Linked DNA regions of Caenorhabditis elegans. The protein of the gene in region 1 interacts with the protein of each later gene in a pairwise test. Each region holds a gene or a part of one and is shown on either strand. Other genes may lie near its edges. The genes, in order: gipc-2 and nas-6.

Region 1 (3,646 bases):
GCCGGAGCAGCGGCAAAGTGAACAACAAGCTTGTCTTCTTTTGGTGCTCCAGCAGTACGAGTGATTGTGATGTCCTTTGAACCAGATGGATCAACGAATCCGAATACCGGAGTGATGCGGTATTCGTTGTTGTTTGAAGACTTGATCTTGAAGATCATCTTCTCAGCTCCAGCATTAACAAGTTTGTGGGTGGAAGCACCTCCAGCAGCTGGAACAGTGCACGCTGGTGGATCGGCCGTCAGAGACATCTTTTTGAAACTTTATGTTAAAGTTGTATAAACTGAACATATTACCCTTATTTATAGCAGTCGTTATCAAGATGAACCAGTGACCTTTCGTGAACTTTTGATTTTAAATATTTTTGTAAATTTAAAAAGGTTTGTTAATATCAACTGTCTGCTCCCTTTTGAAAATATAGTTTTTTAAAAGTTATTTACGCTCTCGAGAAGACGTGGAAGAGGTTAAGGAAAAAATAAAAATATAGAAAAAAAAATATTTTTGTAAATTTAAAAAAGTTTTTTTTTCCGATGTATGTAAGGATAAAAATAAATAAGTCATTAAATATATTTTTCTATAACATGAAAAATTCACCGCTAACTGGCGTCAACTAACAATGACGTGTTTAGTTGGAATGTCAATTTCAAAGGTTCGGAATTACTTGAGTTGTGGACTAATAGACACTAAAGAATAACTTTGAGATACGCGATTTTTGCCAAAAACAGAATGTCCACCTTCGGCACGACTAATTTTGAATTTTCGAATAACTTATTTTCATATATTTCGCCTAACAAAACATTTTTGTATGTAACAGAAATGTGTCGTGTGGAGACCAGATGTATTTATGGAGCAAAACTTTGCACATGATTGTAAATAATAAATCAGTGATTTAAAAAATCAATTTTAAATCAAAATGCGGAGAAATGGGCGGTAGGCAGCCAGGTAGGCACGTGGGCCTCAAGAACATTTTGTTTTTTCTTCTCAACATATTTTTTTGTCAGATAATTTAAAATTTATTTATTACAGTTACGATTGTTTATTGTACATGCATGAAACTCCTAACAATGCTTCTAATGTTTTGCGAGTTTTGAACGATGGCTTCTCACTTATTGGAACGTATGTTTTCAGTTCATTACTCAAATGAAGTAAAGGATCATATAGCTAACTAGAAGTTCTAAATTTTACATCCTTCACTTTGTTCGGCTCCTCCGATGAGTACATCACCCTCTTTGAGCTTATGAACAGCAGGAGTCTAATATTTTCGCCACAGACTTCTGAGATTTACGATTATACACGTCCCCGGGTCCCGACACGAGTGAAACGTTTCATCAAGCCTATACTTTGCCAAAAAAAAAATTTTTTTTAATAAGAAGTATCAAAATCACGGTAAGTATCAAGAAAATCATGCAAAGTCAAAGATCAAAGAACCCTGGATTTTGAGGCAAAAATCTATACATTTTTTCCGAATTACAATTTTACTTGTTACACGTGTTTGAGTTTAAAAACAGGTAAAAAAAGAAAGCATATACATGAATAAATAGAAACGAAAAAATATTCTAAAGTTATATTTTTTAATGAACTTGCTCAGCGTGGAACCCCACTTTGGTTGGCATCCAAGCTCCGCCCACATCAATGTCTATAAATAATCAATTTTCTGGTAAATCCTTCATTCATCGATTTACTCGACTTACAACAACTAATTACAACTAACTCTTCGCAATGCAAGGACAAGGAGCCCCATGCCGCCGTTCTAGGTATGCATTTCATGAGCCCGAGTCTCAGATCTCAGGTTACCATGAATATTTCAGAAGCCGATCAAGATCTCGTGGAGCCTTCAATCGTCGCTCCAACTATGGAGAAGCTCATCCAATTCAGCCTGCCGTTTTAGCTTCAATTGTCGAAGAACCATCATCTTCAATCATGCCAGTGGTGAACCCATTGATGGTTGCAGCAAAAGAGCTCAAATTTCCCTGCCAGTTGGCTCATGGATCTCCAGTTGCAATCATTGACAAATGGAACGATATGGAGGAATTGTACCAATCAATTGCTGATTTCTTTGCAATCTCAAAAGACGATATCATTTTCCTGACGGTTAATGATTTCAAGGCAAGCTTTGATACTTTAATTCCTCTAATTCGAAATATTTTCAGCCAGACATGAAGAACATGTTCAGTGGAACACTCAACTTCAAGGATATGCTCTTTGCACACGTTCGCGGACAAGCAACTGAGCTCCGAATGGTCAAAGACGCCAACGTCTTTGGAGTGACAGTCACTGACAACGGACTCGGAAATGCATTTATCAAGGTCATAAGCCCAGGTTCGGTGTTCGATCGTATGCGTCCAGCAACACAAGTTGGTCAACTCATTGAGGCGATTAATGGAGAGTCTGTGCTCGGTAAAAGACATTACCAAGTTGCTCGTATGTTGAAAAGTATTCGTCGCGGCGAGGAATGTATCATTCGATTGATTGCTCCAAAGAGTGCGGATCCAGGAACTATGAAGATGACTAGGAAAACTGGCGGAGATTTAGCAAAAGGAACCATTCGTTTCAAATCGGAAGGTGGATTTGCTGTTGAAGATATTCAAGATCAGATGATCCAGGCTGAGATGTGCGGGAAACTCAACGAACTGTTCGACCAATATTTGGGAGTTCAAGATGATCAATTGGCCATGAGAATATGGGAAACTGCCTCAAACTGCGAGACACTTTGGCAACTCAGTGAAGCCATCAAACAGTCGGAGCTCTCAATGTTCGAGTTCCCGGATGGATTGGTATTCGACATGTGGGGAATTATTGGTGATTTGAAACGCGAACAACGTGAGAAAAAGCCAATGCCAGTCATGAAGAATGCTATTTCAAGACCATCGGCTATGAAACTCTTTGACTAACTTGTATTGTCAAATAAATTATTTTTCTTGTCCTAGCTGAATTTAATTGTTTCTAAATCAATTTACTATATATAAAGCGCGTGTCGTTCCGTCACTATGTAGTTTGATCTCTGATCATTTTGGGAAACCTTATGCTAAATACGCAGCAGACATCGATCGAGGTCCGCGATAGACACCGTACATCTAATGTGCTTTCTCAAAAAAGTCGAGGGCCGCGCCGTAGGTGCTAGATTTCAACTTGCAATTGTATTCTCTCCAACAAGAATCGGCATTCTAGAGGTTTCCAATGATTTTATTTTGATGAAACGCTACAGTACTCCTTTTATACAATTGACCAGCCGCTGACCGCGCCTCCGGCGCGGCCAACGACTGGCGAAATTTGAAATGTTTGACACATCCCTGAATTCATTAGGTTTTTCTATAAAAAAAAGTAAGCAGAATTTGTTTCCCTGCTGCATGTGTTTAAGTTTTTTCGAATATGCTGAAAGATTAAATTTTGAAAACCATCACACCACAACCTTAAACAAAGTACAGTAACCCTACAGTACTACTACAGTACTACTACAGTACCTTGACATTATCCATCACCAACTCCCAACGCAATATCCCTTCAAAAGCTGAAAAATCAAAATTCCCTAAACTACAGTAACCCTATAGTAACCCTACAGTAACCCTACAGTACCCCTACAGTACTACTACAGTACCTTGACATTATTCATCACCAACTCCCAACCCAATATCCCTTCAAAAGCTGAAAA
Region 2 (6,546 bases), 7.5 Mb from region 1:
CCAGAGAGTAAAATATACGGTGAAGCCAGAGAGTTAAAAATACGGTGAAGCCAGAGAGTAAAAAATACGGCGAAGCCAGAGAGTAAAATAAACTGTGAAGCCAGAGAGTAAAAAATACGGTGAAGCCAGAGAGTAAAATATATGGTGAAGCCAGAGAGTAAAAAATACGGTGAAGCCAGAGAGTAAAATATATGGTGAAGCCAGATAGTAAAATAAACTGTGAAGCCAGAGAGTAAAAAATACGGTGAAGCCAGAGAGTAAAATAAACTGTGAAGCCAGAGAGTAAAATATATGGTGAAGCCAGAGAGTAAAATATACGGTGAAGCCAGAGAGTAAAATATATGGTGAAGCCAGAGAGTAAAATAAACTCTCTGGCTCCACAGTTTATTTTACTCACTGGCTTCACGTTTTTTTAGAAGAAACAGTTCTGTTGGTGATGTTTGAAAACTAGGTATGTTAGTTTCTTTGTTCGATGGTCTTTTTATAAAGTCCAGTGAATTATATTTGCGAATGAATAAGGTTCAGATATTGCAATTTCATTTTTTCCGTTAAGAAACCATGTTCCTATTTACCATTTCTTGTTTTTCTTTCAATAGCTTTTTTCTTAAAATGTGATATGAGTGTATGAGAAAATAAAGTTGTTGAATATTAAAACACAGGAGACTATCACAAGAATATTCCAATAAAGTATATGCAAAATATTTAAGAAACAGCCATGAAATCATTTATTCAATCGAGTTTTCGTAGGAAATTTATCGAATGAAATATAATCAAAATATTGTTGTCCACTACGCGGGCCTAGTGGACTAGAAATAACATCAGTCAAAATGAAGTAGAGTTGGCAAAAAATTGCAGAAGTTTGCAGAAGTTACAACATTTTGTCTTTATATCGGTCCAAAAAGTAGAAAGTATAGTTGCACGGGAAATTTTTATTGAAAAAAAAATTGGAAAACTCATGGCTTTTAGAATTTAATATATACACGATTTTATGAAAATAATTCAACATATCATTTTGCATACATTTGACACATCCCCAAGTTGAGCACAACTTGGAGCTGAGCTTGTGAGCTCCGTCAAAAAACAGAGTTTTCAAATTTTCGAAGTTTTGGCAACTGGCTTGGGTTATGGGACTCAATTTGGATCCTATTTTTCCAAGAATAGTATACCGTATTTTTAATATTAGTATAGATGCAATACTGTTTTTGAAGGCCATCGCGGTTGCATTACAAGGAAGTGCAATAATAATTTTCAGACGCTTTTTTGCAAAACGACTAGTTTTCGTTTACAAGAGTAACAAATTTTAGTCATTTTTTATCAAAATTGTCATTGATTTTAACAAAAAATTTCAAAAAATTTCAACATTTTTGAATTTCGTGTGTACTTATTGCAAAATACGCAAAACAGCAAAGTTGAAGTAACGAAATTAGTGTTTTTGTATCAGAAAAAAAGTAAATGCAATATTATTAGGGAGCGCAACACTAATAGTGAGTGCAAGTCTAACAGGAAGGCTATACTAATAGATAAATTACGGTGTTCATAGAATAGAATTCATAGAATTCATAGAATTCATAGAATCTTTATAGAATATGTGTTGATCTTTCTGATAAACATGACATGTCTCTTCAACCTAAAATTAATCCGATATGTTAACCACAGACTGTTTCAATTGCAAATAATTTTTATTTCTATTTCGAAACTCAAATATTGATGCGCGTTCCATGTTCTCTTGCGCTGTGATCATTAGAATCGGCGCCCACAAAAAGAACATGGCGGAGGTGGCGATCGAGAAACGATTTGCTCTTTTTCTCGGCCTCCTTCTTTCTGAAGAGAGATCGTGTGAGAAATGTTATGTTCATTCATTCACATACATACACACTCTCAGAGTTCTTCTCTCTATCTACGCCGATCCTGTCATATTCGTTTTGTGTGTGTGTGTGTGTGTGCCTAGAAGTCTCTTCTCGGACGCGGAGGAAAAACGGAAACAAAAAGAGCTGGTGCTCCGCGCGCAAGGCGGACAGTACCCTCGCTTGCCCCTTAGTGTATACACATTTGACACGTGTCGTTTGATTCTCTGTGCTCTGTAGGTGCTCCAACACTGACTCACTAACATCTCTGTGAGCATCCGGTCATTCCGGTTGCCCTTCCCTGCTCTCTACTTCGTCTCTTCTTTTCCTCTTTCACCAGGAATTGAAGGCTCTTGAAAGAACATCGCAAGCTCTCACTTGCCTGTCTCTGTCTTTAACACGTCCCAGACGACATTACCCCCACAATTATGCTTGACCACGTTTTGCTTTTAACCTACTGCTTAGTTTCAACTGTTGTCAGATCTCAACCATCGGCAGATGTGTTTCGAAGCTTTGCCGGATACATTCCTGAAGATCACAGGGTGACACATCATGAATGGCAAAATTCAGGTACATTTAACAATAATTTGCTATTGATGTTGCATAAATTATTCAAAACCATTCTCGGGTGGTTTCTTTATTATTGCATTGAGTTGAATCTTGTTTGCAGCTCCCACGTGTGATTAAGTTCTATTGAACGATCGTAAAGAAAATAGTGTAGGCTTTCATTGTATTTTTGGAGACAATTTTAATAATTGTAACACGGCGTCTTCCAGCCTTTATACTGGAGCGAGCTTGCTTAATCTTGCGTTTTTTATAACTTATTTCCGCATTTTACGACATCCGATGCTGTTAAAAATGTGAATCGCATATACAATATATAAATTAAACATTTTTGATTTGTGTATGGTTTATATTGGAAAAGGAACTTCATAACTTCTCACCCGCTTTTGTCTGACTTTTCTCCCCGGACTTTTCTCCACATAATGAGATATTTTACGATCCCGGAATTAGGAAAAAAGACGGTTTTGATACAGTTTTTGTAAACACTGTGGTTATCCTGTTTTGCGAAAACTTCAGATTTCGTCCTAAATCCTTAGTTTACACATTTTCATTTTTTATAATATTTTTCAATGAAATAATATCAGGACGTCTAAAAATGAGAAAAATGAGCAAAACCAAAAATATGAAGTTTTCTTTTAAAAAAATTCAAAATCAAAAGATTTGTCATTAAAACAAAATTGAATATAATTTGGTAACTTTTTACCTAGAAACTTTTTGTGAACATTTTCGAATTTTCGATTGGTTAAGTTTCAGTTTCATGGCAAATTTAGGAAATTTTGATATCAGACGTTTTTTTGAAACGGTGATTCTGGATCTCAAAACAATTCAACTCTAAAAAAACATAGATTTCTTATGCTTTTAAAATATAGGGGGTACAAGAATTGATTGTTCTTGGTTTTTAAAATCAAAATTTGTTGACAAACAAAACATTCTTTCTCATTTCTTTTGTTAATCATTATTTTATGAATAATGCATCAAACCAATGGTTAAACTCTCAAAGCGAACTTCAAGGAGTAATTTATTTTTTCTGAATTCTGAAGTTATTAACAACAAATGATTTAAACGTCACGCGCAATACTTGGCATTCAAAGCATAAGTTTTACAAAACCTCCAAAGGTATGATATATGTAGTAAGGTATAAATTAATAAATTATAAAAAAATCATGCTGTTTAATTAATGCTAAATAATTTCAGGGAAGTTTCAAGGGGATATTGATGGAGTCGATCCTAACCTTCTCAAGCTCCCAGTAAGTACATGGAATGAGAGCTCAGTGATATAATTATCTTGCAGGAAGGTCCAGTGCTTTTCAATGCATTAAAAAACAAGCAGTTAACGTGGGAGGGCGGTGTGATCCCATACGAAATGGATACGGCATTCTGTGAGTGAGTAGTTGTCTAAAAAAGCAGCTTTTTAGTAGGAAACATCCACAGGGCATGTGAAGGCAGCGTGCTCCATTCCAGAAAAACCTTTTGAAAATGCGGAGATACGTGGTGATGGCAGTTTGATCACCTCTAACAAAAATTACACTAAACATTCATAGTTTTGTCAGAACATCAAAATCACGTGTTTCCTTGGTTTTCAGAGGTCACATAAAATAGTTACACACCAAACACTCGTGACGAGTGGCACAAGCGACGCGGTCAGAGAAAGATCGGTGGTTGAGTTTTCGCTGTTCAAATTAATTATTCAATAGGAAACTTTAAAATCTAAAACAATCAGTAAAATCATGTAAAGACTAACTTCGTCAAGTTCCTGGAGACACTAGATTTTTTGGTCTGTGGGCGCGCAGCAGTACCTGCAATATAAGCGAAATTTTGAACCCCATGTTTTTCCAGCACCGAATGAAATAAAAATTTTGGAAAAAGCGTTTGACAGTTACCGACGAACAACATGCATTAGATTTGAAAAACGAGAAGGTCAAACAGACTACTTAAACATTGTAAAAGGATATGGGTAAGAATATATATCTTATACAACCCTTACTGAATTTTAATTTTTCAGGTGCTACTCTCAAGTTGGACGAACTGGAGGAAAACAGGAAATTTCTTTGGGACGTGGCTGCTTTTTTCATGAAATAATTGTACACGAACTGATGCATTCCGTCGGATTTTGGCACGAACACTCGAGAGCTGGTCAGTTCGTGTAAAAAAACTTTGTTTACTTAAGATCTTAAACTGAATAATACTTACTTTTTAGATCGCGATGATCACATTAAGATCAACTGGGATAATATTCTGCCTGGAATGAAGTCTCAATTCGATAAAATTTCGGCAGTGTTACAAGTGAGCATTATAAATCACAAAAAATCATCGGAACTCGTGTAACTCAAAAATTTTTGACGGCATTTGCCGCATACCCCTGGTTTGAAATACAAAAATTTATTCGATTTATCCGTATTTTTCATAAAATAAAAACGGAGTGTGATATAAATGTATTCCAGTCAAGAATAACAATAGACTTAAATTCAAAATTTTGAACTGTTGTTTCTATGAAAAACTTCGCATCCGCAATTTCTATGGGCCATCAAGTGTTTTGAATTTTAAAAAGCGAACGGTAGGCAAATAATTTCAGAATTCCAAGTCAGCTCAATCAACTTGTTTTAAAACTGTTTTCAATTGATTTAAACACTTGTAATTTAATGTAAATATGGGCACAATAAACATTGCTACCAACCGGGCTTGGTTTCACTGTATTGCAGTAGTTTCAGTAAATGTATAGACTTTCAGAAAAATATAAATACTCTCGAAAAAGAATAAAATGAACAATCGAAGAAGCTGCGTTTGTGGGAAAGTTAAATAGTAATTTCTAGGATCTTCAAGGAGAAAACTACGATTACAAATCAATAATGCACTATGACAGCACTGCGTTTTCAAGAAACGGACGAAACACAATAGAAACTGTAGAAAATGGATTCACACAGGTTATTGGGACCGCTATGGACTTGTCACCTCTGGATATTGTGAAAGTAAATAATTTTGGATATTTTTCAAAATAAATTTTAACATAAAAAGTTTAGATCAACAAACTGTATTCGTGTAAAACTAAGAAGAAAGAGAAAGTAAAGCCTGCAACTACCGAGGAACCTCATCAACTGATTCCGCAAGTTGTGGATAAAAATTCGGTCGATTCTGGAGAAAGTTAGTGTTTTGTTTCATTTCTGTGATCGCATTGAAAAATGTTTACAGAAAGTTTTCAAACTGTAACATTAAAAAAAAACTCCCAACAAACTTTATTTTCAGAATGTGTCGATCATTTTGCGGATTGCCCGCACTTTGCACAATACTGTACCCGTGCTTCATTTTTCTTTGTTATGAAATCGTACTGTCCATTTACGTGTAAACATTGTCCTGGTGATCGAAAACTCAAAAAATCGGGATGATCTTCTATCTGGTGTTATTTATTTTGTTGCTTATTGTTCCATGACGTGTGTATAATGTAATTCTGAAAGCCAATTTTTTCATTTTTTGAAAATATTTATATAATTTATACTTACAATTAAATAAATTACGTTTTTGCCAAGTCATTAATATTGCAAGTTTACACATAAAATATAAAATCGAAAAATAAAATTATTCGTTGGAAAACTAACTATTTTTCAAAGTTAGCATCAAACATGATGTGATATCGGAATGATATAAGTAACGACCTGAGAGATAAAAAATCCAAAGTTACGAAATCTTGAACAATTAGAATTTAGAATCGGACGGGTTTCAAACTGTATTCTCTTATTTTTTGTAATAATATAATTGTACAATTTGAAAGTTTGAAAACATCATCACAATATTGTGATGATGTTTTCAAACTATGCAATGGGTCGCGGGTCGACTCGCGACCCATGAAGTGGGTTCCGGGTCGACCCTTTTCGACCCAACGACACCTCTATTTCCAACATTATTTATTTGTCTTAATAATTTGAAAAACGGAGAAAAACAAACATCACGTTTATATTTTCATGATTATCAAATTCCCAAGATAGTTATAAAAGACGACGAAAAAATTAAAACGAAATTTATGCTCAATTGCGTCTTACCCATCAAGCTCACACAAATTTGAAATTATGAATTCCGGTACTAAATTTTGTTTGATGATATCTTTTTCTTCAATTTTCTTCCTTCTTCTCTCTCTCGATTTTCATGC

The links.
Region 2: the proteins of gipc-2 (region 1) and nas-6 interact in a two-hybrid assay, tested with the Caenorhabditis elegans proteins (one large-scale study listed by BioGRID).

What each region holds. Positions count from the first base shown.
Region 1 is NC_003282.8:10,025,685-10,029,330, reverse strand, and holds gipc-2 (PDZ domain-containing protein), read left to right. Parts: upstream 1-1,664; 5' UTR 1,665-1,716; coding exon 1,717-1,751; intron 1,752-1,805; coding exon 1,806-2,103; intron 2,104-2,147; coding exon 2,148-2,888; 3' UTR 2,889-2,918; downstream 2,919-3,646. Other genes in the region: msd-2 (MSP domain-containing protein), read right to left, coding at 1-248.
Region 2 is NC_003282.8:17,486,224-17,492,769, reverse strand, and holds nas-6 (Zinc metalloproteinase nas-6), read left to right. Parts: upstream 1-1,990; 5' UTR 1,991-2,272; coding exon 2,273-2,414; intron 2,415-3,198; exon of another isoform or gene 3,199-3,219; intron 3,220-3,602; coding exon 3,603-3,655; intron 3,656-3,699; coding exon 3,700-3,787; exon of another isoform or gene 3,788-3,791; intron 3,792-4,244; coding exon 4,245-4,362; intron 4,363-4,410; coding exon 4,411-4,541; intron 4,542-4,605; coding exon 4,606-4,691; intron 4,692-5,218; coding exon 5,219-5,374; intron 5,375-5,425; coding exon 5,426-5,546; intron 5,547-5,648; coding exon 5,649-5,788; 3' UTR 5,789-5,928; downstream 5,929-6,546. UniProt on the Caenorhabditis elegans protein: Metalloprotease.